Linked DNA regions of Ovis aries. The main gene of each other region encodes a partner of the protein of the gene in region 3 in a complex. Links are inferred from orthologs where the notes say so. Each region holds a gene or a part of one and is shown on either strand. Other genes may lie near its edges. The genes, in order: RUVBL1, PDRG1, UXT, DNAAF10, PFDN6, ASDURF and POLR2E.

Evidence for each region.
Region 1: UXT (region 3) and RUVBL1 share a complex: the UniProt entries of both Homo sapiens proteins name them as parts of the PAQosome complex. The link is inferred for Ovis aries from reciprocal best matches to the Homo sapiens genes UXT and RUVBL1.
Region 2: UXT (region 3) and PDRG1 share a complex: the UniProt entries of both Homo sapiens proteins name them as parts of the PAQosome complex. The link is inferred for Ovis aries from reciprocal best matches to the Homo sapiens genes UXT and PDRG1.
Region 4: UXT (region 3) and DNAAF10 share a complex: the UniProt entries of both Homo sapiens proteins name them as parts of the PAQosome complex. The link is inferred for Ovis aries from reciprocal best matches to the Homo sapiens genes UXT and DNAAF10.
Region 5: UXT (region 3) and PFDN6 share a complex: the UniProt entries of both Homo sapiens proteins name them as parts of the PAQosome complex. The link is inferred for Ovis aries from reciprocal best matches to the Homo sapiens genes UXT and PFDN6.
Region 6: UXT (region 3) and ASDURF share a complex: the UniProt entries of both Homo sapiens proteins name them as parts of the PAQosome complex. The link is inferred for Ovis aries from reciprocal best matches to the Homo sapiens genes UXT and ASDURF.
Region 7: UXT (region 3) and POLR2E share a complex: the UniProt entries of both Homo sapiens proteins name them as parts of the PAQosome complex. The link is inferred for Ovis aries from reciprocal best matches to the Homo sapiens genes UXT and POLR2E.

What each region holds. Positions count from the first base shown.
Region 1 is NC_056072.1:59,390,488-59,394,648, reverse strand, and holds the start of RUVBL1 (ruvB-like 1), read right to left. Parts: upstream 2,801-4,161; 5' UTR 2,727-2,800; coding exon 2,586-2,726; intron 1-2,585. UniProt on the Homo sapiens protein: Possesses single-stranded DNA-stimulated ATPase and ATP-dependent DNA helicase (3' to 5') activity; hexamerization is thought to be critical for ATP hydrolysis and adjacent subunits in the ring-like structure contribute to the ATPase activity.
Region 2 is NC_056066.1:61,137,078-61,141,145, forward strand, and holds the start of PDRG1 (p53 and DNA damage-regulated protein 1), read right to left. Parts: upstream 2,801-4,068; 5' UTR 2,705-2,800; coding exon 2,618-2,704; intron 1,114-2,617; coding exon 1,038-1,113; intron 1-1,037. UniProt on the Homo sapiens protein: May play a role in chaperone-mediated protein folding.
Region 3 is NC_056080.1:57,168,696-57,172,913, reverse strand, and holds the start of UXT (protein UXT), read right to left. Parts: upstream 2,801-4,218; 5' UTR 2,734-2,800; intron 2,548-2,733; 5' UTR 2,539-2,547; coding exon 2,441-2,538; intron 1,452-2,440; coding exon 1,370-1,451; intron 1,237-1,369; coding exon 1,169-1,236; intron 903-1,168; coding exon 795-902; intron 135-794; exon of another isoform or gene 1-134. UniProt on the Homo sapiens protein: Involved in gene transcription regulation. Acts in concert with the corepressor URI1 to regulate androgen receptor AR-mediated transcription. Together with URI1, associates with chromatin to the NKX3-1 promoter region.
Region 4 is NC_056056.1:40,186,417-40,189,916, forward strand, and holds part of DNAAF10 (dynein axonemal assembly factor 10), read left to right. Parts: intron 1-7; coding exon 8-109; intron 110-2,278; coding exon 2,279-2,394; intron 2,395-3,099; coding exon 3,100-3,234; intron 3,235-3,500. UniProt on the Homo sapiens protein: Key assembly factor specifically required for the stability of axonemal dynein heavy chains in cytoplasm.
Region 5 is NC_056073.1:7,615,388-7,618,555, forward strand, and holds PFDN6 (prefoldin subunit 6), read left to right. Parts: upstream 1-1,375; 5' UTR 1,376-1,407; exon of another isoform or gene 1,408-1,467; intron 1,468-1,548; 5' UTR 1,549-1,630; coding exon 1,631-1,694; intron 1,695-1,934; coding exon 1,935-2,005; intron 2,006-2,083; coding exon 2,084-2,208; intron 2,209-2,458; coding exon 2,459-2,588; 3' UTR 2,589-2,668; downstream 2,669-3,168. Other genes in the region: WDR46 (WD repeat-containing protein 46), read right to left, coding at 1-49, 174-286, 419-499, 609-803, 903-971. UniProt on the Homo sapiens protein: Binds specifically to cytosolic chaperonin (c-CPN) and transfers target proteins to it. Binds to nascent polypeptide chain and promotes folding in an environment in which there are many competing pathways for nonnative proteins.
Region 6 is NC_056055.1:119,676,120-119,680,058, forward strand, and holds the start of ASDURF (ASNSD1 upstream open reading frame protein), read right to left. Parts: upstream 2,801-3,939; 5' UTR 2,722-2,800; coding exon 2,632-2,721; intron 437-2,631; coding exon 383-436; intron 1-382.
Region 7 is NC_056058.1:41,257,705-41,261,735, forward strand, and holds the start of POLR2E (DNA-directed RNA polymerases I, II, and III subunit RPABC1), read right to left. Parts: upstream 2,801-4,031; 5' UTR 2,736-2,800; coding exon 2,679-2,735; intron 1,237-2,678; coding exon 1,062-1,236; intron 253-1,061; coding exon 137-252; intron 1-136. UniProt on the Homo sapiens protein: DNA-dependent RNA polymerase catalyzes the transcription of DNA into RNA using the four ribonucleoside triphosphates as substrates.

The DNA.
Region 1 (4,161 bases), on a different chromosome or scaffold from region 3:
TAGATTCTCAAATTAACCCACCAAGTACTAAGAGTCAATGACACACTCTACTAGTTGGCCATCAGTCAACTATCCCAGGAGGCTGCAAGCAAGCGCTACATGTGATGTTTAATCTATGGCATCATAAGACCCAAGAACTGCCTTTCAAATCCTAAAGATTAAATTAGTTGTTAGCGTACTGTAAACATTCTGAGTATTAAGCCATTCTGTACAGCATATACACTGTGTGTGTATTTATATGTATAATCACATACATCCATATGTGTAGTTGACCCACGAACCCTTGAAGCTGGGATGCGCAATCTCCACGCAGTCAAAAATCAGCACATAACTCTACAGCCAGCCCTGCACATCCGTGACGGCAGCCAAGGGTCCTAACACTTATACACTGAAAGAGACCTGCATGCGGTGGGCTCATGCAGTTCAAACCCATGCTGTTCAAGGGCCCACTGTATACTGACACACATATGAATGTCCATCACAGAAAGTCTATAAACGGGTTGCTGATTGTATGCGTTTTAGAGCATTTCTGGAGCAAGGCTGAGAAAGTCACACTCCCTGAACTCCTGTATCTTGAGACTACACAAGATCCCTTACACGATTCAAAGCGCGCCTCTCTCCGAGGTGCATTCCATTTGTCTCAAGGCAGGTCACAGGTTTTCTCCCTGGACAGCACCTTGCTGACAACGTCTTGTGAACACCTGCTCTTCTCTCTCTTTTCCCCACGGACTGTGGAGACGTATCTTGCTCTCACACTTAGACAGCCCCTCAAAACACAGGTTCACGGAAACCACGTGGACGTGCTCCACCCCATTTCTGGCTCAGCTGGGAGAGCACGGCACACTTTCACAGCCCAGAAGAGATTCTTCAGAGGTCGCATTTTCAGAAAGAAAAAGGAGCCACTGAGGTCCTTCCACAGTGACCTCTGACATCATTCATAACCCTCAGCACTGGAGCTCTGGGCGATTCAAAGAGGAGGAAGACTTTTCAAGCCTTGTCTGTGTGCTCTTATTCACACACCCCCTCTTCCCGTTAATATGCTTCCATTTAGGTTCCTTCTCTCCAGTGAGCTTCTTCCAGTGAATTCCAAGATTTAAAAAGCATGAACTGGAAGGGCCTTTAGAGAGCTGTAACTCTCATTTTTCAGGTGAGCCTATTAAACACCAAGGAGGCTGGTGATGTGACCAGACCCAAACAAGGACCTGGCGGCAGCGGTGGGATGACTAATAAGTCAGCACATAAATTCTGAGTCCCTATCATAACCCAGGTTCTGGATATTTACCACCACCCGGTCTCTATCCTTGGGAAGCTCATATTCAGATGGAGGCACATAGCAGCTGAGTTAACAGCGTGGATTCTGGAGTCAGGCTGCCTTGCCTAGCTCTGCCAAGCACCAGCTGAGTAATCTGAGACCCATAACCTGATCTCTGTGAAACACAGTTTTCTCGTCCAAAAACAGAATTCGTAACACCGAGGCCCGAATGCTATCGGATTTACGGTGAAGTATACTAATGTCTGCGACTGAGCGTGACATGCAAAGGCAGCCTGCTGGAGGGCTAAATGGACAGACAGAAGACAAGCAACGGCGTGAAGTGTCGCTTGTAGAACCTGGGCACACAGGTACACAGCTCTTTCAGTTTTGCCGTACGTCAGAAGAGTGCCATAAAAAAGCAGAGAGGGGCAGTCTAAGGATGGAGGGGACGATAGGACGATGGAAACGGGGCTGCTTAGCACGTGGAGAGGACGCAGCGACTCTGCAGTGATAGCCTCTCAGACAGCTGAGGCTGGATAAAGAGAAGCTAGTCACCTTAATCCTGCCACAGTTTCCCCTCTGCAAGCATGGTGTCCAGAATGGAGGCTTCTCTTTGGCCCTTTCTTAGCACAGTTAGGCTAGAGGGCAAGAGTCTTGGCCTGGACTGAGAGCTGCTGAGCCACAGCAGAGGTCCTGGCAACGGGCTGAGGGGGACTGCTACACAGACAGCACTGTCTCAGGAGTCAGAAACACAGGCACAAACTCCAGTGTTACTAAACTGAGTCGCCAGGGGGCTGGGTGGACAGGTCTCTCACCCTGAATTTTTTCATCTACAAAAAAAGCAACAATTAAAAAAAAGAAAAAAAAAGAGCCTGAATAGTTCTGTGATAATAATGCAGCAGAAAGGACCGGGCACCGCCATCCCTCGGTAGATATGGGCTTTAAGTGGAATGGTCAAAAAGGACTCGGTACCCGTCACCTGCCGAGCCTGGCCACTTGCCGGCTTTAAAATCCCAGGGCCTCGCAATGCGCTCTCAGAAAGCCCCCCAGAGCCCGTCCCCAAAGTCTAACACTCCCGTTGGGCGGTTTAAACGTTGTGTCCGAAACGCGCGGTCCGGGAGAGCAGGGTTCCGCGCCGCCCCGCCGCCCGCCGCAGCCCCGGCCCCGCCGCAGCCCCGGCCCCGCCGCAGCCCCGGCCCCGCCGCAGCCCCGGCCCCGCCGCAGCCCCGGCCCCGCCGCCCCGCCAGGCCCGCCCCGCCGCAGCCCCGGCCCCGCCGCCCCGCCAGGCCCGCCCCGCCGCCCCGCCAGGCCCGCCCCGCCGCCCGCGCCACACCTCACGCGCGTTCTCCTGGCCCACGAGGCCCGAGGCCGCCTGCTTGGCCAGGCCGCTCTCGTCCAGCCCCAGCCCCTTCACATGGCTGTGGGAGGCGATGCGCTGAGTCTTCGTGGTGCTCTTCACCTCCTCGATCTTCATCCTGACAACCGCAGCCCCCGAGCCCGCACAGCCCAGGCAGCGCGCACCCCGTCACCACGAGGCCGTTACCAGGCGGTTGGTCCCGCCTAGGTCGGCGTCCCATTGGCCGCGGCGGGAACGCCTCCGCGCTCCATTGGCTCCTGGCTGCGCCCGTCGCGGCTGCCGGTAGGGCCCGCCCACCAGCTTCCGGCGGTGTCCCACGGTTGGCTTCCCCCGCGGGGGGCGCTTCCTTCCTGGGTAGGGACTAGCCGGGCGGCGCTGCGGCTCACTAGGGGCGCGCGTCCCGCTCTTCACCGGGCCTTCCGGCCGTGAGCGCGTTCGAACCGATACCGCTCTGCGGAGCTCAAGTTCGACCTCGGTGTCGGAGACGAACAGACAGGTTTAGAACTCAAGCTTCGACCTGCGCCGGCTGAGCAGCTTTCTGACAGCCACTCCTGCCGCCGTCTTCGGGGAGGCCGTGCTCAGCGTCCTCAGGGGCCTGTCCTCTGCGTCCCCTCGCCTCCGCCTCTCGCTTTACTCGTTTAGGGTAATTCCTAGTCCGGATGAAGATGCGGGCGCAAAGAGGCCCCGCAAGTCACCCAAGAGCGCGCAGCAAGTAATCAGCAGTTGGAATTTCTGCTGAGGGCTTAAGGCGCGGCAGCCTGTGGGACCCTCATCCCAGCCCTCGGATTGGACGGTCATCCCGCGGCTGCGTCCTGTCCGTTCCATGAAAATGTCAGCGCTGCCTGGAACAGTGTGCTCTTCCCATCCACCCATCCGTTCAATAAACGTTGGTTTGCACCTGCTCTGAGCCGGACACTCCACGATGCAGGCTTAAATACAAAGTCTGCAGCCTTAACAAGCTTAGTCCTTAGTTGGGAAGCTTGCGATGGTGAGGTGTGCAAGCCCCAAGCAGGCCACCTGGAACAGCTGGAGAGCCTAGGAAGGCACCAGAAGGTGATATGGTAATGCCCACACGGAACCCTGATGGCAGGCTAACGTTCTTAGGAGAAGATGGTGCTTTGCCATGTCGCAGGTAAGTGGACTCAGGTCCAGAGAAACGAGGGACTTGCCCAGAGCTCAGGGGGGCCTTTCTGGATCGGGGCTGAGACAGGCCTGAAGCCACATCGTGCTGCAGTGGTTGCTGACTCTCGTCTCTCCTTGCGCTTCTCCGTCATCACTTCTGAGTCTAGGTTTCCAGTTACTTGCATGACTGTCCGGTCAGAGTCAGCCTCTCCCACTAAACTGCAGGCGCTGTGAAAGCGCAGACCTCGTCGCTGCTGTCCGTCATTTTAGCGTCAGTGTCTGGCTCATAGCTAAGGCTTCTGCCCGGTTCTGGAACCCCGCCCCCCCCCCCCCCCCCCCCCCCCGTTCCCACGGAGTCAGGCAGTTTTGCTGCGTGTATTTTACACACTGGATCTTAACCGGACTTGGTAGTGGTTTCTGTCAGTGAATG
Region 2 (4,068 bases), on a different chromosome or scaffold from region 3:
CTTCAACAAATAGTTTGATGCCAGGCATTGCTTTAGATGTTGAAAACACAGCAAAACAGGACGAAATTCCTGCCTTCCTAGCTTGTTAGAGTGGAGGAGAGAGAATATACAACAACGTCAAGATAATAAAGATATGATTCATCAGACCCTGAAAGGTATCTTAGAGAAAACTAAAGCAGGGAAAGAGAGATGGGGAATGCCAAAAAGAGGAGCTTGTCATTTATACCAGGCAGTCTTGGAAGGTCTTACAGATTATGTGCCATGCTGGCAGAGACCTGACAAAAGTGAGGAGTGTGCAAGCCCTGCAGACACCCATCTAGGGAAAGAGCAAGCCAGGCAGAGGAACCAGGAACAGCAAGGATCAGTAACGTGCCGGTGTGTCAGGAACAGCAAGGAGAACGGTGAGGGTGCAGCTGATAAGCGAGCGTGAGAGCAGAGGAGACAAGGTGGGAGAGTTCAGCGAAATTACACGGAGCCCTGCAGGACTCTGGATTTTACTCTGGGGAGACAAGACACTGGAAGGGTTCAGGCTTTCCAGTGCACTTTAAGTGCTTGGTTCCTGAGGCCCTTCATCATGGCCTGGCCTCTGCCCATCTCTCTAGCATGATCACTTGCCCCTCCCCTATTGCTTCCTCCATCACCACCACTTAGCCTCATCTAAAGAGCCACCATCCCATTATCCAAGACCAACCCTGTGTTCACTTCCTTCTGCAGCTTTCTTACAATTTTCAGTTCTGTATTTATGCTGTTGACTCACCTGTAGAGCACAAGGGCAGGAACTGCACTGTTTTTATACCCCCAGCACTTTCCCAGTGTCATCAATTGATAAGCTAGCAGCTAACAACCTGCTGGTTGAGGTAAGAAACTGAAATCCTGAGCCACAGTCTAGGTCAGACCTGCAATGCCATCTCTCCCATCTCCACGGGCTGTGCCACACACCTGTGGCCTCCTGCCTGGTCTCTAACAGGAATAAGTCAAAGGCAGTAGAAGGTAAACTGAACAGGCCTCCTGGGCTGCAACAACGAAGCTAGGCTTACCAGTGAGGCTGAGATCCTTCTGCAGGGCCCTCAGGCCCTCCCGGTTCCGATTCCTTTTGGTATCCAGGTCCACAATCTGAAAAGCACAGGGGCAGGAGGGAACTCAGTTACCTCCTACCTGGGTCTGTACCCTCAACAGACCAGGGCTGTTAAAACCTGACGAAGACGACAAGGCATCATTCCTCGGTTAATTCTAATGTCCTGCCTAAAGCGGACAGAGGTGTGAAGGTACTCCCTCCCCCACTCAGCTTCCAGCTCCTTAAAGACGATGCTTCATCCAGGTGTCTTTCCCCCCAGAGGAGGAGCTGGGGAAATGTCTAGTGACTAAATGGGTAATTTTTTATTATCATCCACGGGAGCACTAGTTCTCAAGCTTCAAGGCATTTCAGAATCACCAGGGGAGTGGAAACCACTTCCTGAACAAGCTCCTCCAGCTGATTCTGACCGAGTATCCTGAGAAAAACAACAATATTACATCAGAAAGGCACTGAGACAGTGGTCACAGCAAAATGGCTACTAAGAAAGTGAGGAGGCAGTGCAGTACTACTGCCTGGCAGTGGAGGCTCTGGGGCAGAACACCCAGGTTTGAATCCTGCAGCTTGCTATGAGCGGTGTGACTTCACCTCTCTGAAAAACAGGGACAGGAAGAGGACCCACCACCTAGGTTATTAACCTAGGAACTAAGTCAGCACAGTACTTGATACACAGTAAGTACTCAATCAACTTTAACTGCTATTTGTCAGCCAGCACACCTTGATGCAGTGTTTACTAGGCTCTCCCTTAATACCCAACTGACCAAGTACCCAATCATTCTAACTGGAGATGAGGAGTCTGAATCATTCTTGATCCCTCCTACTCCCTCACCCCTATACCTCAGCATCATGGAGGCCATCTCCAAAGGGAGATGACCCATCACCACCACCTAGGCCCAAACCCATCCCCTACCTGGCCCCTCATTCACCCCTTCCCCTCTTATAGTCTGTGCTCTACAGAGCAGCCAGAGGGATCTTTCAAAGCCTCAATCCATTATATCATTCTCTCTGCCCACCACAAGCTGCCTTAAACTCCCTGTGCAGGTCTCCACGGCCCTCCGGTGGCCTGGGCCCCACACTTCTCCCACGTCCCGACTCCTGCGCGATTACTAGACCACTCAGACTTCTTTCCTGTTCCTCTTCTGGCCTGGACTGGAGCGGTGCAGCCCAGGTCAGTGTTGGGGCCCAGAAACTGCATTTTGAAAAAGCGGTTCAGGTAAACCAAAGGCCCCAAGAGGTAATGGGTCGGGATCCGGAAAGCTGGGCAAAGGGCAGAGGAAGGATGGCGAGAGAGGAAAGGCCTGGCACAGACGGGCTTAATATGTGCCAAATACAGGAGTCAAGCGCGGCGCTGTGCCACGCACTCGACATTTGGCCCACATGATCTCACAACCGCCCGGTCTGTCGTCACAGCCCTTGGCCCACAAGAGTAGGTCAATTCACAGCTAGCCCAAGCTGGAGCCGGATTCCGGACCCCGCGCGCTGCCCTAGGAGCTCGCAGGCCCAACTGCAAAACCCGGGCCCCAGCCCCGCGGACAGGCCTCCTACCTGCCGTTTGTCCGCCAGCACCTCCTCGGCGAGCTCCTCCACCTCCACCAGGTACCGCAGCACCCGCTCCGCCTCGGGCGACAACATGATGCCTACCAGTCACGACTCCACTACGCCGCTATCCTATCGCGCTCACCTCCGGCTCTGCCGCACTGCAGCTCCGTCCGCGCACGCGCCGTTCTCACAGGGCTTCCGGCACGCATGCGCAGTTGAAAGAAGAACGGAGGCGCGCAGGCTCCAAAGCTCGCACGAAAGCGGACGCGAGAGGCGGGGCCTAGCTTGGGGGCGGGGCTGGAGCGCCCCCTGCAGGTCCAAACCTCTTAACCTCGCCCTCCCTTAGGATAGTTCTTAGGCGCTGAGGATACGGAAGTGAACAAAACGAAGTCCCTGCCCCTCGCGCAACTTCATCTAGTGGGTAACATAAACAATTGATCACAAAACAAATAATTATATACTATGGGAGGCAGTGATAGGGCTTTGGAGAAATCAAGCCATTCTTCCCCTGCCTGAGGAGCACCAAGGAAGCAAGTGTAGCAGTTTCTGATTTATAAAATGAGAGTGAATAAAAATCCTTCTCATTGTGTTTCCGCAGGATTGGAAGGAGGCAGGAGTCTTAAAATTCAGTTTGACCTCTACTTTCATTGAGCCCCTGTGTTGGACCCAGTGTCAAGAATAGCTGACCTAGACCCTAGGAAGGGCGGTGAGTGATGAAGTGCCAGCTCAGAAGAGTTGGAAATGCTGGAAAGTGAATCATTGTGGGCTGTAGGAGCTGGGAAGATTTCCAAGAAGAAGTAGGCAGGTGGAAAGTGGCTGCCCTTCCGAATCAGAAGATTCCCTAGAGATCTTCACACCCAAACCCCTCACTGTACAGCTGGAAAAGCCAAGGTTCAGAGGGTGGTGAGGGTTTTAAAAAGTCAACAGCAGACCCAGTACTAGAGCTCTGACCTCTTGTCTCCCTGACTCCAGCTTGTATTGCTCTCCTTTTGGCCACTGTAACCAAGCCCTTTCACACCCCTTGCCTTCCTTGAATTTCACAACCATCTTTGTATGGGTGGGTTATTACACATCTCGCAGCTGCATGCTGAGGCTTGTTCCTTGTCCCACGGCAAGTCAGGAGCAAACATGGTCCAGGAGTGCTCAAGCTTCTAGACCACAGCTGTTTCTGGATCCTGAAAGAAGAAAGGCCCTCCACCAAGTTGTGGCCCCAAAAGTCCTCGAAGCACCCTGTCTTTGCCTGGCCTTTGGCTTCCTTGAACTGATGAGGCAGTTAGTTTTCCCTGCAGCCACCTGGCATGGGGAAAGAAGGAGATTCATTAAGGATTCCTCATTAAGGGTGAATTTGTCGCCAAACCCAGGATGTTTTGTGTAAATACCTTCTGGTTCAGAAACGCAGACACAGGCCTTGTGAAGGAAGGAGGAACATTTGCCAAAGGAGAAACAGGGCTCACCAG
Region 3 (4,218 bases):
TGACTTGAGACGTAGACAAAATCTCTCCCTTTGCAAAGCTTATATCCTAATGGGAGCAGGCAATGAACATTATAAAAAAGTAAATCACACAGTAAACATTAGGAGGTCATAAGTGCTACAGAAAAAAAGAAAAAGTAGAACAAGGGAGGGGAATCAGGAGCGCAAGGGTTGCAATTTTCAAGTTAGGTTATAGGAAGTGACATTTAAGCAAGACTTCAAGTGAATAAGGAAAAAGGAAGCCATGCATATATCGGGGGGAAAGTGCTGTAGGCAGACAGAGAACAGTTACTGCAGTTGTGCTGAGGTGGGATCACTTTGTGGGCATTTAAAGAAGCCTGTGAAGGTTAATGTGATGAGAGCACAGTGAATGAGCAGGAAAATTAGCAGAAGGTGAAGTCAGAGGTAACTTGTTTTACTGTTACTGATTTACAGGCTGAGACCTCCAGGATCTGGTCAAAACTGTGCTGATGTGTAATAGTTATAGCCCTTGTAGAATGTAAGCTTTCAAGGAATTCTTCTGTCTTGTTCATACTGCCTCCCCAACACCAAGCACAGAGCCTGGCATACAGCAAATGCCCAATAAGTTTTTGTGTGAGTGAACAATACAGAGACCATTTATTGAGTACTTATTATGTGCTACACCTGGGGCTAAGCTTTGCATCCCCACTGTTCTCTCCCCTAGAGAGAGGGGAAAGTGGTTCCTAGGTACCATCCCAGGTAGCCAGGGTGAAAGGGGGAAGAAGGATGTTACAAATGGTGTTGTTTTAGACAGTATCCTCATGCAATGGACTTACTCTGTGAGGAGATTGCTCTTACGATCAATGAACTTGAGAGCTTCTGCCAGTGTCAACTCCAGGAAAAAACCATATCCAAGGGCCACATAGATCCGTGAAGTGTCTGGGCTAAGGAAACAGTGGTGATCAGAAGTGGAGAAGTCCTTGTCACTGTTTAGCATACTACACAGTTTAATATTTATTTTACTCCCCATCCTCCACCTTCCCCAAACTGAAGGTCAGGGTGGGCAGATAATTTGTCCTATTTTATTTACTGTCACATCTTCAGCACCGAGCAGTGTCTGGTTCATAGCAAATACTAACAAAAGTATTTGCTGAATGAAGGAAAAGGGAAGCTGAACCCTGTGGGCTCAGAGGGGCAGGTAGATACTCACACCACTGTGTCAACGAAGAAGTTACAGCCCAAATCCACTTGCATATATAACTCCGAGTGATTAGCTTCCTGTGGGGCCAGGGAAAAAGAGGTAGGGATCAGTGGTCAACTTTTAGGTCAGGTGACAGGTTTTGGTCTTGGGTATCTCCTCTCTTCCCCCTCCTTTGCCCACAAAAAGACTACCTAACCCTGGCATCTTTACCTGGAGTCGCTCAATGACATTTCTCAGTTGAAGGTATTTGGCCAGCTGCTCATATACCTTGTCGCGATGGTCCAGGACCTTTCTGATGGGACATGACAGGACAAGAGTAAAATGGTGACCAAGAGGAAACCCTGTCCCTCTTGGAATATCTCACACCATGAACCCCTGAGACTCTCCTGTCACCAGAGTCTAAACAGGAATTTTAGTGCAGAAGTCAAGGTTTGGCCTCTGGGTCAGATTGCTTCGGTTTGAATCCAGGCTTTCCATTTTACTAGCTGTGTGACTTTGGCAAGTGAGTAATCTCTTTGGAACTCAATTTCCCCATTTTAAAAATAGGAATGAGGAGTATTACTTCATAGAGTCATTAGGAGGATTAAATGAGTATTTACTATAAGGCATTTAGAATAGTGCCCTCCAAACAAATTTCTCTATATGAGTTAGCTCTTATTTACAAGTATTATTACACTCTACTCCCAATGCCTCCCTCCAATCAGAATATGACATTCTCACCCTAGAAAAAAATCCTCCATCTCTTTTAGGAGCTCATAATCCTAGACCTGAACACTCTCCTTCCTGCTCTGATTAATAATGATAGTAATAATAATTTTTTATACTCATTGAGCCTCTAGTATCCAAGTTAAACCCTTTACAAGGACTGAATACACTGAAAACACAAACCCACTGCCGTGGGGAAGGCTGCATTAACTTCCCCATTTCACAGATGAGGAAACTGAGGCACAGCAAGTGGAGGCGAAGTATGTATTCACACGGAAAGCAAAATGGTCAAGCCAGGATTCGAACCTGAAAACTCCAGCTTCAGAACTCTAATTCTTAACCCTTTAAGGTCATCGGAAGCCGCGCATGCGCGTACACAGGCACCATTAAATCACCAAGTCTCCCTCCTCACCCGACGCTGCACCCCGGATATCGCCCCTCCTTCCTCCTCGAATGGCGCACGGGGCCGGGCTCTGAACGCCTCACCCACCAATCAGAAGGCCAGGCCCTGACTTCGAACGCCCCGCTCACCACGTGGACCGCTCCAATAGCTCCGCCCCCCGTTCTGTCACTTACTGCAAGTCCCGCTGCAGCACGTCAGAGATGAAAGCCTCGTAGCGCAGCACTTTCTCCGCCGTGGCCTCCACCGCCCGCCGTTTAGGGGGCGTCGCCATGATGGGCTCCTGAGGAATGGGGAGGGAGAAAGACCACGTTGAAGACCACTGGTCTCAGTTTGGTCTCAAGCACAGTGCAACTGCACCTTTTCAGTGTTGGGAGTTGAGTCGTCCGGCTTATGCCGAGGGTTCAGCCTTCCGCCCCTCCCAGCTCTGGGACCCCATCACACAGGGACACCCAAGCGCTGCCGTTACCTGAAAGCCGCCGGCAAAAAGAAGTGTTAGTAAGAACCGTGGCTTCCGGGTGGCGCGGGTAAATGACGTACGGCGGGGGCGCTGGCCAACCAAATAACCAGGGTGGGTGAGGCAGTCCTGAACGGAAAAAAACGCCGGAGAGAAGGAAAGGGCGGGGCTTTAAGAAATCCGCTGATTAAGAAAGGCTGAAGAGCGTGGGAACCTGGACTGCGCAACAAGCCTATGGGGATAGTGCACTGTTGCTGGGGGTGGGGTTTAATGGGATTTGGCGGGTGCCGGAGGTGGCGGTACACACAGAGCGAGTACAGCTTTTGGTGTTTAAAAGTCAGAGCTTCAGAAGCAGCCGGGCAAGAAAAGATTATGAATGTGGTCTGTAAAAAGGAAAGTATATCCTTGCATCGCCCTGGATTTTGAGTTTTCACAAGGGAAGCTTGGGTTTGACTTTCAATAATGGAAATAAATGTCAGCATTAAACATAAGTTTTGAAAAGGAGACAAATTTTCTGATATGCACCTTTGACGACTCCAGCTCTGTAGCCCGCAGTCCATGACTGGAGTTCAAGCAGAGGTTGATAACGCACTATGTCTAATCAGTTCAGTTCAGTTCAGTCACTCAGTTGTGTCCGACTCTGTGACCCCATGAACTGCAGTACGCCAGGTCTCCCTGTCCATCACCAACTCCCGGAGTTCACTCAAACTCATGTCCATCGAGTCGGTGATGCCATCCAGACATCTCATCCTCTGTCGTCCCCTTCTTCTCCTGCCTTCAATCCCTCCCAGCATCAGAGTCTTTTCCAATGAGTCAACTCTTCTCATGAGGTGGCCAAAGTATTGGAGTTTCAGCTTTAGCATCAGTCCTTTCAAAGAACACCCAGGGCTGATCTCCTTTAATGGACTAGTTGAATCTCCTTGCAGTCCAAGGGACTCTCAAGAGTCTTCTCCAACACCACAGTTCAAAAGCATCAATTCTTCTGCACTCAGCTTTCCTCACAGTCCAACTCTCACATCCATACATGACCGCTGGAAAAACCATAGCCTTGACTAGACGGACCTTTGTTGGCAGAGTAATGTCTCTGCTTTTGAATGTGCTATCTAGGTTGGTCATAACTTTCCCTCCAAGGAGTAAGCAAAGCATCTTTTAATTTCATGGCTGATCACGTCATTTAATTGGGGCGTCAAATAGAGGGTTGCTGAAGTCCTCTGCCCAAGATAGGTTATCTTGTCATTAGAAAGAGTTCCTATGTTTTTATTTAAATGTGTAAACTTTGTATTTATTTTTATGTGCTCAAATTACCGAATGGATTTATTTCCTATGTTAGATTTTCAAATAATAGCCTCTAACTCAGTAAGTCCAGGCCTGAAGAAGAACTCCAGTGCTGGATCCCCCAAATGATACTTCTGGCTGCAGGCCCTAGAGCACCCAGCGTATCAGGGAAGTTTTCCCAGATAATTTGTGGGTTTGCAGTCTAAAACCAAGCTTTGTTTC
Region 4 (3,500 bases), on a different chromosome or scaffold from region 3:
CTGTCAGGAACCGTAAAGGTGTGGGACCCACGGCAGAAAGATGATCCTGTTGCTAATATGGAACCCGTGCAGGGAGAAAACAAGAGAGACTGCTGGACTGTGGCATTTGGTAAATTACCGATGGACTCTTACACCTGAAATGCCAGATTATAAAAAGCACAGTGCTTCAGGAAAGTCCTGATAGTTTAGAATCTCTTCTGTACATTATTCTGGCAGTTTATCGAGGCAGATAGACATGGTGATTGGGCCTGGGTTTGAATTCTCACTGTGCTACTTAACTGGCTTTGTAACCTGGGGCAAGTTATTAGGCTTCTCTGATTTTTGCTTGGTTCATTTATAAAATGAAAGTCATAATAGAATTTACTTAATAGTTTTGTTATGAGGATTCAGAGTTAATACACGTAAAATGCTTAGACTTGTGCTTAGATATCAAGTGTTCAAAAATATGGAGTATTATTATTTATTTTTGTTTAACCTGGTGATATTGACCTAGTTTAGAACCCAATGCCATTAGTGAAATTAAGTAGAGCCTTAGATGGTAACCTAACCAGTCTCACATTATGCTCTACACGGTGTGTGTTTATTTTCTAAAAATAGTTATACTATTATAAAATTATATCTTACGAATTTTATAACCATGTTCCTCTATTAATATACTTTTAAAACTAAATTACCACTGAAATTGGGAGATTTCTATGTGTATATATTATAATTACTATGTGTGTATGTATAAGTAATGATATAAGCCAAAAACATGTACACTTGGGAAGAAATTTCAGAATTAGTGTTTAGAATCATCATGTAAAATTTATGAAATAATTAAAAAATAATTAACTTTGGGCCCATTAAAGGCTTTTTAATCATTGTTCTAAGGGATGTAAGTGCAGTTTTAAATATAGGACATTAAAGAAAGGACATTTATCGGAAGCAGATTCTTATTTTAAATTAAAGAAGCTGGTAACTTTAATAAAAAGTGCTACAAGTATAAAAGGTGCTCTAATGTATAAAAAGTGATACATTAATTGTATTACTCCTACAAGGTCAGAGTGATGAAAGGTCACAGAGGCATGGGTCAACACAGAAGGAATCCCAAGGCAGCCAAAAGAACATATTGACCTCAGTCCAAGGATTTGTAGGATTTGAAACACTGAAATGGGGAGATTTCGAGTATGTAGAAGGAATGGAGGTAGGACTAGCCTTAAAGGTGGCACGTGGCCACAGCCAGAGGCGTTTAGATGGTCTGGAGGTAGTGGTAAACCTTCGCAGGCTTCTGCAAGGAGGAGATATGATCAGAGCTTTAGCTTTACACTGTGGCCGGGTAGGCGGGAGGAGTGGCAGAGGAAGTGTGAGTTCTGAAGCTCTTTGCAGTATTCCAGGAAACATGTAGGGTTAAGAAGCAGTGAGAATGGAACAGAGGAGTGAATTCAGAAATAATGTGGCAAAGAAAAAGAAAAAGAAATAATGTGGCAAAATAAATACACTTTGGCAATTTTTTTGGAGATGAAGAACAAGGGAAAGGATTATGTCCAAAGTGACTGAATTTTGAGGTTGACTATGAAGTGAATGATGTTTATTGAAGGAGTTCCACAGAGTGTATGATAGTTTTTAAAGGAAGACGATGACATCAGTTTTAGACATCAGAGGTTTCAGCTGCTGTCATGTCATCTCAGTGAACCCTCCAGTGGAAATGCAGGGCTGGAGTTTATAAGAAGAGGGAGTAATCCAAAAAAATTCCTGGATCCGAGCAAGGTGAATTCAACTGCAGGTTGTAGATTTACTTCAATTGTGAGCATCAGATAACACCAGAACAACATTTTGCAAAATAAATAAGTTTAAAGTAGTTTCCATTTGCATGCAAAGAAAGCATTGGAAGTGTAACTGTATTTATTCTACCGAACCCTGCTATGTTAAATTGTTAGTCTTTGCAAATAGAGTATAGAAAGAATATTTGGTTTCAATTTAAAATCCAGTAAACACTTTCTTTCATATATCTCTTGAGCACAGAATCTCAATAAAGAGTTTTTTTGGTAAACAATATCAGAGACTAAATTAATAATCTTGATGTCCTGTAGGATTAGTAAAATGAGATTCTATCCAATGTGACTTCTTCACTTGATTTGGTACAAGTTACCTGTGTAGTTCTGTAAGATTATTGTTTTGTTTTTTATTGGAGTATAGTTGATTTACAATGTTGTTAGTCTCGGATGTCCATAAGTTTTTTAAGCAGCCTTCAAATCAGCATTTAAAAAGATCTGAAATGTCATGTCCTGATTTCCAGGCAATGCTTATAATCAAGAGGAACGTGTCGTGTGTGCTGGCTATGACAACGGAGACATCAAGCTGTTTGATCTCAGAAATATGTCCTTACGGTGGGAGACAAATATAAAAAATGGGGTAATCTGCATTTGCATTCTTTGCAGTTTCTCTGAATGTCTTTTCCACGTACCTCTGAACTACAAAAGGAAAGCACCCCTAATAACTCGTCTCAGTAAAACCCCTTTATGGATGGATGGTTCTTAACCTTTAGGGTCTGTGAAGTCCTTTGAGGATCTGATTAAAAATCAGGGACACTCTTCAGAAGGAGAACACACAGCCAGGTGTGGTGTGACAGTGCCTGGTGGGTCACCGCCCCTGTAGCCCATCTCTAGATGCCTGTGGGCTATGCAGTGTGATGTTAAAGTGAGCTGGTACCAGGCCCTTTTCTGGTAATATCAGGAAGACCAAGACTGTAATTGACTCCCAGGTACTCACAGGTTTTTTGGTTCCCGGGTTGTACATCTTTAGTGAAGAATGTGGTTCCTTCCTGTTTCCTCTAGTCAGCCTTGACTTGACTTTATAAAATCATTATGTAATAATGGTAAAATGTTAAAGTATGGCTTTCCAAATGTACCTCAGTGCCTGAGATGATTTTGGGACCTTACTAACCGAGAAGAAAATTTTCTAGTTACAAGTATTCGGTATACAGATTCAAAAGATAAAATGATTTTTTTTAAAGTGCTTTCACATAATCCAATAATGTTACAGTTGTTTTACTTGGTTTGAAAGAAACTCTTGGATATAATGATTGGAGCATCACTCATAAATATTCTCTATTTTCAGGTGTGTAGCTTGGAGTTTGACAGAAAAGACATAAGTATGAATAAGTTAGTAGCTACATCTCTGGAAGGAAAGTTTCATGTTTTTGACATGAGAACACAGCATCCAACCAAAGGTTTTGCTTCTGTTTCAGAAAAGGTAAAGATGAGGGAAATATCTTTCTATGAAGAGGAATGTTCATATTAATAGCTTGCTTTAGACTAATAAATAGAATGAGTCACCAGGTTCCTTCCAGGTTTTTTGCATGAAGGGAGCTATTTTTAATATATTCTTATAGGATCTTGATAAGTTATTCTGTGCAAAGAATACTTTCCTAAAGTTTGTCAGTTTCATATTTCTTGATTATATTAATAATAAAGGCCTTCATTGGTAATGACTATTATTTTGTAGTTTAAGAGCAATCA
Region 5 (3,168 bases), on a different chromosome or scaffold from region 3:
AGCCTGGCGAATCTTTGCCGTGTCCTCCCCATCCTCTCCTTCCAGAAACCTGCAAGTGAGCGTGAGAGTTGCATTAAAGCTTCCTAATAAGAAGTGGGTATCCCAGCATCACAATCAGAAATTAGAGCCCCATAAATCAGGGATTGGGGAGGCCCACATCAGGGTCCACTCACCCAGGTTCTTCAGCAAGCAGAAGCTCAGATCGAGCAGCTCTGACACTTGTTTCCTCTTCTTGTGCTTCAGCCACCGCAAGTCGGCTTCGTGTCTTGGTCTTCGCATGTGGTAGCTAAAACAGCGGTGAGAGATGAAGTGAGAGAAGGACCAAGGGATGCGGGGGTCACAGGAGAGCCCCGCCTCCATTCAACTCACCCAGACACTCCCTCCTGCAACCGCTCCCCACTCTCCGACTAGCCCTCACCTCCTTGGATTTGTCAATGCGACAGTACTTCCGAACCACCTCCACACTGACAGGGGCGGGGCCTGCAAATGGGTCCTGGGCCTGCGGCAGGGAGGAGGCAATTAAGAAACAGGCTCGAGCTGACCCCAACCCCCCGACCCTGAAAGCACAAGGCGACTTGCCTCGGCACCCCGGGAGGTCCCAGGCTCACCCCAGAAAAGGTCCGCTGAGGCCCCGGACTCTTCAGTTCTCGGGGTTTCTTGGAGATCCGAAACTTCTTTGAGGTGTCATTTCTCTTTGGCTTCTGGGGGCGGAGCTCTCGACTCCTCTTCCGTTTATGAGGGGGACCTGGAGAAGCTCCGGCCGCAGTCCCAGTGGTCTCTTGCTCCCAGTATCGCCGCGGTTTCTACCAACAGAGCAGGATCCCTCGTATTCCGCTGCCCTTCGCCCCGCCCCTCGAACCCCGCAAATAAAAACTTCCTTTCCACCCCAAGGAGATCCCTACCTTCTTCTTGGCTTGCAGTCTGTCCTTCTTGGGTGGAACATTACTGCCCGGCTTGGGGACTGTCTCCATCTAGCCCACTCGAACCACGATCCACGTGCAAACTCCTCTCCACAGTCCCACAGTGTGATGGAAAACTCCCGGAAGTCCTCCGAGACTCATCCAATCAGCGCCGTTCCAGGTCTGAAGCCTCCTAGGCGCCATCTTTAATGAGGGCGCGCTCCCCACTGAGGGGCGGGACCAAGGCCCCCAGTGCGGCAACTTATGCCCAAGTGATGAAAGACGGGCAGTCCGAGGCCAAGACCCAAGCAACCCTGCAGTTTCTTTTCCCATCTCGGTTTCTCCATCTTGCCTTAAATCCTTCCGCTTCTGGTCTTTTTAGCAGAACGCCACACATTGACCATATTAGAACTACATTTCCCGGCGTGCGCCGGCTCACAGCTTCCGGTGCCGTCTTTCCCCAGCATTCTCTATTTACTTCCGGGTTCACCAATACTGAAGTGAGAGCGTGAGTAGGGGAGCGGTTCGGCTGAGGAGTTCGGGGTACTGCCACTCCCTGAGGCTGGGGGTGAGTCGATATCCCGGACCAGGAGAGACTGCAGTGGGTGGCCCGAGGGGCTGCCTCTCAAGAGGGCTGTCACCTCCGCAGGCCAGAAAGGGGAGCCCGGGTACCTTCCAGAGCGTGAGACCCAGCGCCCCTCTCCCGCTGCCCGCAGGCTTTCGTCCCCGCCATGGCTGAGCTAATCCAGAAGAAGCTGCAGGGGGAAGTGGAGAAATATCAACAGCTGCAGAAGGGTAAGGGAGCAGGGTAGGGGTGACCTCGCGGCAATTCACTCACAACCTGTCTATACCCGAATAATGTATTCTGTCCCACCTCTGGCCCCAGCCTGCGGCTCCTTCCCCTTCTCTGTAGTCTTCCCATTCCCTGTCCCGCCTGCTCATCCTTGCCTGCTTCCTCAGCTCCGCCTTCTTACCAGGACTGTGGTGGTCGGGTGGCACATGAGATGTCTCTAAACAAACCTTTTCATCCGGCAGACTTGAGTAAATCCATGTCAGGGAGGCAGAAACTAGAGGCACAACTAACAGAAAATAATATCGTGAAGGAGGTGAGAGACTGAGATTTGTGGGGCGAGGGGGGACCTGTCTTGGAAGTGATTCTGATGTTTTTCCCACTCCTCCACCAGGAACTGGCCCTGCTGGATGGGTCCAACGTGGTGTTTAAACTTCTGGGGCCCGTGTTGGTCAAACAGGAGCTGGGGGAAGCTCGGGCCACAGTGGGGAAAAGGCTGGACTACATCACAGCTGAGATGTGAGTCTTCCTTCCACCCCACTGTGTTATACTTGATCCGTTGGGAATAAAGGTGCTGAGAAACCTTTCTAGAGTCATTCTCCAGAGCAGCCCCCATTTGAGCAGGTTCTTCAACTCCTTCCTGTGTCCTTCAACTCCTTCCCTTTTCTTCATACTCCCCTTAGAGCTCAAGTTTCTGACCAATCTTGTCTTCAGCACCCTCAAGAGTAAGTCTCACTAATTTCTCATTTGCTTTTTTGCCCTTCCTCAGTAAGCGGTATGAATCCCAGCTCCGAGACCTAGAGCAGCAGTCAGAACAACAGAGGGAGACCCTGGCTCAGCTGCAGCAGGAGTTTCAGAGGGCGCAGGCGGCAAAGGCAGGGGCTCCTGGGAAAGCCTGACCCTGTCCTGGGGGGGTGGGCGGGGGGAGGAATGCGGCAGCTCTAGGGTCTATACTGTAGCTAATAAAATGTGAAAATACCTGGCGTGTTCTGACCAGCCACTTCTGTTGTAACTGTCTCCATCCTTTCCTCTGGTCCCTTCTCCCTCACCCCTATATCACCTGCATTACTCTCTTAGATCCAAATTTGTGCACTGAAATTTGTGTGTGGCAGAGTAACCCTTCTTTCTTGAGACTAAACTCCGAAATGTCTCAAACCTAATCCTTGCCTGTACATGCAAGCCTTAACTCTCTCTTCTCTTGATTGGAAGCAACCAAGAAAAGGGCATTGACAGTGAAACAATTTGGGGGAAAGTTAAGTTTCATTGAAAAACTCACAATTCTCTAACCTGCAGTCCCAGAATGGAACATGGTAATCCTCTTTTGCTATGATTTCTTGTCATCCTCAGAATAGCCCTGGCATCTTAGTTCTTTTTAGTCTCTTTTCTTCCTAGACTTTGTTTAAATGTAGCTTAAATTGGATTTCATATCCCAGCACATAATGCATTGTGATATTCTGAGACCTCCAAGTTTGTACATTG
Region 6 (3,939 bases), on a different chromosome or scaffold from region 3:
AATGGAGTTAAATAACCACGTTAAGGATTTGGAAGCTTGGAGTAAAAACCTGAGGAGGTAGGGAGAGGAGGTGGTAGCATTTATCTTTTTTAAAAAATAAACAAACAAAAAATAATTATCCACATTCACTTGTATAGCTTCTCCTCTTCTCAACAGATTCAATGTTTATGTCAAAAGAATACACCAAATTCAAGTACAAAATAAATACCATTATTGACTAAAGCTCCAGGATAACATAGTACAATCAGTATCATTTGATTCGCAGGTAATGTCAATTGCATATGTTGGGGAAAGATTATCAGCAACTATGATTAATACATAGATTTATACAGTTGATATCAAATCCTCCCACATAGTATTCAGAGTAATGCTAATAACTCACCCTGTTCTTCTTCAGGTTAGAAAGTTCATCCACAACAACTTTTTGTTCTTTAATCTATTGAAATAAAGAAAACGTACTAAATCAGAGATTATCAAAGCATGCTCAATAAGAGCCCGTACTCTTGCCTGGAAAATCCCATGGACAGAGGAGCCTGGTAGGCTGCAGTCCATGGGGTCACTAAGAGTTGGCCACGACTGAACGACTTCACTTTCACTTTTCACTTTCATGCACTGGAGAAGGAAATAGCTACCCACTCCAGTGTTCTTGCCTGGAGAACCCCAGGGATGGGGGAGCCTGGTGGGCTGCCATCTATGGGGTTGCACCGAGTCGGACACGACTGAAGTGACTTAGCAGTAGCAGGGCTCAACTAAATGGAAACTAAATTTCTTTTAAACTCTTTTCAGTAATGATAGTGATACTGCAAACATGATTGATTACACAGTGTCACCATAGCCTCTAAACAGTGTTATTTTGTAACCTCTGATGCCTGGGGATCTGTCATACATCAGTATAAGTGGCATGCTGCTGCTGCTAAGTCGCTTCAGTCGTGTCCCATCCTGTGCGACCCCAGAGATGGCAGCCCACCAGGCACCGCCGTCCCTGGGATTCTCCAGGCAAGAACACTGGAGTGGGTTGCCATTTCCTTCTCCAATGCATGAAAGTGAAAAGTGAAAGAAGTCGCTTAGTCGTGTCCGACTCTTTGCAACCCCATGGAGGAGCCCACCAGGCAAGAGTAAAGGGCATGCTATGGTAGGAATCAGAGCAGGCTGTGTGCAGTCTGAAAATTCATTCCCCACAGATGTGTACCCTTCTGCTTTCCAGCTGCCAGTCACTGTAGTGACTGATTACAGAGATTGAGTTGAATTCCAAGACTGAATTTGTACAACTTCCTTTTAAGGCTTATGTTTGAATAGCACTTTCCCATTCATTTTAGGAATGGTAGGTATACTTTAGAACTTCAGACAAGGAAACTGTAACAGAGGAATCAGAGATGTGCCCAAGATGCCAGTGTCAGTTTGGGACAGAACCAAAGTATTATCTTAGACATCTATTACCTGAAAGATTATAGCCATCCTCATTTCAAATGTTAAAAAAATTTTTTTTCTTTTTTCCATTTATGGCCTTATATTGGCTCCCTTTTGTGAGGGGAGGAGCAGAAGAGCAACAATGAAATAACATTTTTAGGAGCATGCTGCTGCTGCTACTGCTAGGTCGCTTCAGTCGTGTCCGACTCTGTGAGACCCCAGAGACGGCAGCCCACTAGGCTCCCCCATCCCTGGGATTCTCCAGGCAAGAACGCTGGAGTGGGTTGCCATTTCCTTCTCCAATGCATTAAAGTGAAAAGTGAAAGTGAAGTTGCTCAGTCCTGTCTGACTCTTAGCGACCCCATGGACTGCAGCCCACCAGGCTCCTCCATCCATGGGATTTTCCAGGTAAGAGTACTGGAGTGGGGTGCCACTGCCTTCTCCGCTCCAGCTAAATGAAGGATAGGGGAGAAGAAGGCAACAATGGCTAAGGAGAGACCAGTTAGGAAACTTTTGCAGGATTCCCTATGGCACATGCAAGGGGCGGGTTTAAGATGGTTAAAAGTGTACACAGTGATAAAGGGACACCTTACAAAGGACAGAACTTCGTGACGGATGCAAAGATGGGCTCCCAGGTTACTGGCATGGACAACTGCATGGATGGCGCTGACATTTTCTGAGACCGCAGGCAGCAGATCTAGGGTGGGAGGTAATTTCTAAAAGTTTTAACTAAGAATACATAGAAAAAAATCCAACCGTGAATCTCAAAGACATTAAGCTTGGAGAGGCATAAGCTGTGATTTCACTACATGATGTGCTGGGAAGGATAAAACTGTCCTGATGTAGAGCAGATCAGGGACGGCCAGAGGTTCTGGGCGGGGGAGAGCATGCCTATAAAGGGAGTCTTTCAGGGTCGTGGAACTTGTCTATATTCCAATTGTGGCGGTGGTCACACAAATTTAGACACGTGTTAAATACAGAGAAAACGAAAAAGAGCCAAATTTTACTGTATGATACTTTAAAATATGTTAAAAATTGATAAAATAAAACCAACTAAACTTCCGCCTTACTACCATCTGGGTCTAATCTCGGGGCAAGTTTCAAGGTGTCCCTTTAACTGTGCCTCTCGCAGCAGGGCAAAGTCGAGACTAGAGCACGCGGCCACCGAGGCTCGTCTCCGGCGGTGAGCAGCCCGAGGGCCATGTTACCTCGTCCCGCACTCACCTTGCTGCTGAGCTCGTCCTTGTGCAGGGTCGAGCTCTCAGCAGGGACGGGCCCAGCGCCGTCCTCGGGTCGCTCACCCCGGCTGGGCATCTCCGCGGAGAAGCAAACAGGCAGGGCGCGAGGCCGGGCGGCACCCCAGCAGTTCCGCGTCCGCAGCCCCTGCGCGTCTGCGCTCCCCGCGGCCCAGCCCCTCCCTTTCAATTTCCGGTGAGTCCTATCAACGGCGTCTGCGTGCTCACTGGAACGCCTGCGCAGGCCGGATCTGGGCTAGGAGTACTCGCGCGCGTGCGCACAAGTTAGGGGCCCGAACGGACCCTAGCGGTTGGGATGTTGAAACGCTCTTTACCCTGTGGCATCTAGTAGACTGTAAATTATATGCGCCCCCTAGTGGTGACTATGAAGAATAGAAGCTCAGTAGAAACACCGCTTAATATTTATTATCTAGGAAAAAACCAAGGTTATCACGATGGTATGATCACTCACCTAGAGCCAGACATCCTGGAATGTGAAGTCAAGTGGGCCTTAGAAAGCATCACTGCGAAAAAGCTAGTGGAGGTGATGGCATTCCAGTTGAGCTATCTCAAATCCTGAAAGATGATGCTGTGAAAGTGATGCACTTAATATGCCAGCAAATTTGGAGAACTCAGCAGTGGCCACAGGACTGGAAAAGGTCAGTTTTCATTCCAATCCCAAAGAAAGGCAATGCCAAAGAATGCTCAAATTACCACACAATTGCACTCATCTCACACGCTTAAAATTCTCCAAGCCAGGCTTCAGCAATACATGAACCGTGAACTTCCAGATGTTCAAGCTGGTATTAGAAAAGGTAGAGGAACCAGAGATCAAATTGCCAACATCCGCTGGATCACTGAAAAAACAAGAGAGTTCCAGGAAACCATCTATTTCTGCTTTATTGACTATGCCAAAGCCTCTCTGTGGATCACAGTAAACTGGAAAATTCTTCAAGAGATGGGAATACAGACCACCTGACCTGCCTCTTGAGAAACCTATATGCAGGTCAGGAAGCAACAATTAGAACTGGACATGGAACAACAGACTTGTTCTAAATAGGAAAAGGAGTACATCAAGGCTGTATATTGTCACCCTGCTTATTTAACTTCTATGCAGAGTACATCATGAGAAATGCTGGACTGGAAGAAGCACAAGCTGGAATAGATTCCCGGGAGAAATATCAATAACCTCAGATATGCAGATGACACCACCCTTATGGCAGAAAGTGAAGAGGAACTCAAAAGCCTCTTGATGAAAGTGAAAGAGGACAGTGAAAAAGTTGGCTTAAAGCTCAAC
Region 7 (4,031 bases), on a different chromosome or scaffold from region 3:
TCATCTCACATCAAGAAAGGTAAGTACCTGTCAGGATGCTCCCAGGGTGGCTGGGAGCTAGTGTGGCAGCCGGTCCCCGGGCCTGGGGACAGAGGTGCTGGCCAGGCTCCATCCCACCCTGGCGGGGCAGGCTTACCTGCTTGGCAGAGGGCGTCATGCCCTGCTGCACCACAATGAGGGCACGTGTGATGTTCTCCTCCTGCATGCGCTGACAGTACACCTTGATGGTCTTGATGCCCACCTTGGGCTCCTCTGCAGGCAGAGCACAGGCTGATCAGTGCTGCAGGGCCCCTTCCCATCGGGCACCCAGGTTCTAGCCTGGCTCTGCCAAGGCACTGCGGTGCCACTCCCACTCTTGGGCCTCAGCCTCCCCGTGTGCAAAGCAAGAACTGGGCAGCTGGTTCCCAGAATGGGGGAGCTGGCTGCCTCCAGGTCACATGGGAGCTGACAAGTGCCCTGGGTGCCCTGGACCTCAGGGACCTCTTCTGGAAGTGGGGTCTGGGAGTCTGGGCTTGGCCAGGGCTCAGTGGCTCTGAGGTTTGGGAAGCCCTGGATTTGGTTTAGTCTTGGAGTTCATGAGACAAGGGCTGGGGTTCTCAGAGGTAAGCTGAGGTGAGCTGACCCAGAGAGTATGGTCCTGCCAGACACAGACCACCCATCTCCATGCCGTAGCACTGGGGGTCCTCATGGTCTTGGCAGCATGCAGGGCCTGCCACAGAACAGCCGGACCCTAGGAGCCCAGCAGGTCAGCACCTAGGGCAGCCCCAGGGTCTGTGTGCAGTATGTCCGCCCCTTCCAGCTGCTCTCACTTCCCATTCCACTAACCCACTCTGCCCTCAAAGTCCCTCTGTTGGGGTCCTGGCCCTGGAATCTCAGAATGAAACTGTATTTGGAAATGTGATCTTTAGGCCCAGAGAGAATGGATGGGTGATCGAGAAGAGGGAAGCTGGAGAAGGGGTTCCCAGAGCAAGGAGGGCAGGGGACAGAAGGATAAGGGTGGGTGCATGACTCTGGGGCGCACAGCAGGTGGCTGCTGTGAGCTGGCCCTGAGCAGCCCTCACCTGGGAAGAAGACGAACATCTGGTCAGTAGGGTCGTCGTTGTGGGCCACCAGCACCGTGAGGTCCGTGCGCCTTGGCCGCCCTTCACTGGGCTTGTCCCCAAACTGGGCCTTGAACTCCTCCAGAGTCTGGTCCAGCTCGTCCTGGGTCACCAGGTAACCACGGTCATGGCACAGCTGCAGAGAGAAAGGGCAGGTGATCGATCGCACAGTGGAGATAGGACAGCAGCCAGAGCTCCGGTGGCCTCACCCACCGCAGAGGAGACTGGGGAAAGGCCTGGGATGCAAGCGGAGATGTTGAGTCCAGAGTCAGGCCCCAGGGCGTAGGTCTGACAGGTACAGCAGGCTGGGCGGGTGTTGGCTGTGAAACCAGGCAAAAGCCTGAGGCCCAGCAGTTCAAGGTCCTGCTCAGAAACTAGGGCTCTGTGAGCACACAGACTAGGTGAGGACCCAGACAAAGGAAGGTTGGAGCTGCCACCCAGCCCTGCCCACATCCCCCACCCCCCGCCGAGTCTCCATTCAGAGACCTGGGTCTCCTCTCCCGCAGCCCCGACACCATCAGGTAGAAGCGCAGCTGCTCCCGCCCTGTCTTGAGTAGCTCTGCCAAGTGTTGAAGAGGCTGGGTCATAGCCCAGCCTTAGCTCCAGCACAATTCCCAGGAGGCTGGGTGCTCTTGATCAAGGCCCCAAGTCTTTGTGGCATCACACTGGACCCCTCTCACATGGTGGCTTAAAGCATGTGGTACACAGAAAAAGCTGGTGTGACTGCTGTGACACTGAGACTGAGTTGGTGGGCAAGGCATCTAAGTAACCACCAGACAGCAGTCAGACCAGCCCACCAGGGTTCCTTCCACCGTCAAGAACCCGGGATTCTGCGTTATGCACTTACGGTGGTGCTGATAAGACAGGCTGGGAGCTGGGACCCTTTGCGGCAGCGCCTGCACTTGGACAAACATCTTCTCCAGCAACAGAATACCCAGAAACCATGCGGGACTAAAAATAACCGTGCAATTGCCCAGCTCGAGCAAATGATAGACAACAACAGAAAGTCAAAACCTCCACTTCTGAGGTGCCGGAGCAAAAGCTGGGTGCCAGGCCTGATCCCTGCACACAGCACCACCCAGAGGGTAGGCAGACCACCCGAATCATCACTCTGGCATGACCCCTGGACCCGCGCCCACCCTCATCCCATTATCCCATTCAAGACGACCTAAGAAGGGCGCCTGTTGCTTGTTTTCGCTCCCTCCTGCTGCAGCATAAGCTCCAACAAAGCCTTGCCTGACCTTCTAGTCTGGCCTGTTATCAATTCTTACTGATTAAGAACTTCAAGGATCAGGGGCTGTAACACCACAACCCTCCAGAAACACAAATACAAGGCGGCCCAGCGTCTCCCGCCTTCCCTCTCTCCAGCTCGAGCGAGATCCTGACCCCCTTCTCTGGGGGCTCTGGGGCTCGACTCCTCCGCTCCAGCCGCGCCGCCGCGGGTGAAGAGGCTCGTCCTCATCAACGGGCCCTAGCACCCGCCGTTCACGCCTCGGCCGCCACGTGCCCAGTTCGTCTGGCGCAGCCAGGCACGCCCTCACCGCGTTCTCCAAGGAGGGCTGCCTCCGCGCGGCTCACCTGCATGATGGTCTTGCGGATCTTCCACAGCCGGTATGTCTCCTCCTCATCGTCCATGATTCCCGCCGCTCTCACACACTGCGCCTGCGACCAGCACGACCAGGGCCCACAGTGCCTACTCCGAGTCCTGATCAGGCCCCCAACACGTCGTCTACCCGTGCAGGGCTGTCGCAGGCGAACGCCTGAATACAGCGACCTTCGGGAGCGGCACTGCCAAGGGCAGCCCTAGCCTTCCTAAAGCGGCGGTTGGTTGCGCGAGCAGCTTTCAAACAGCACCGCCCACCCGCCCCTCGGAAGTTCTCGCGATGCTTTGACGGCACGGCTTCTCGGGAGTGGTGGTTTTTGCTCAACGTCAGTCTGGACAGTGTTTAGAATCTGGAGAGATTGAGGAAGTGTGAGCGGAGCCTCGGTTTTCCGTTTTGTATAATGAAAAGAATAAAGTGTCCCCCATTTTAGAGGATCTAAAGAGATGCTCGTACTTGGGAGGAGCTTGGTATAGTTCCTGGTGCTTACAAAATGCAGCTGAGCCCCAGCCCAGCCCCTGCCTGGATACCCCAAGAGTGCACAACCTCTGCATCGGCCCTTCCCCTCCGAGTTCGTTCAGGAGGTTTGTTCAGGCCTGCTCAGCCCAGCTTACTTGTGTCAGTAACTTCTCATTCAGTAATATATTAATTCAATGATTCAGTATTTAATGAGGAGCCAAAGAGACGGGGAACAAAACAGACCAAGCATCCTTACATGCCAGGGAGAGACAGGACAGAAACAGCGGACATAAGTAAATGATACAGCGTGTTAGAAGGAGACAGTGCTGTGGAAGAAAAAATAGAGAAGTCTCAAATGTGGTCATGGAAGGTTCCAACAAAAATCCAAAGGGTGAGAGGGTAGAAGCCCTGGGGATGTCGAGGAAAGTGTATCAGGTAGAGGGTACAGCATGTGCAAAGGCCCTGAGGCCTAGCATGTTGGCAGCAAGGAGGCCTGTGGGTCAGAGGGTCAGGTGGGGCAGATCTTGGGAGCCCTTGCTGGTTGGGTTTGAGAAGTTTGTGCTTGCAGCCATTTTCAGCATCTCCACAGGGCAGAAACAGGGAGACCAAGGAGTGGGCTAGGGAGGACCGTCCCGGCCAGAGATAGATGAGGCCTCAAGTGAAGGATGAGCTGTGGGCAGGTCTAGGGTGTCCAGAAGGCAGCGCTCATAGGATCTGTAGGTGGACAGGATGTGGAAAGACACAGAGACAAGCAGAGGAGGAAGAACAGACCTCGGTGGGGAGGCATAGAAGGCAGATCTGGAGCAGATCTTGGATATGGTGAGCTTGGGACTCCTGGGGGACCCTACGGGGAGCATCCAGGGGACAGTAG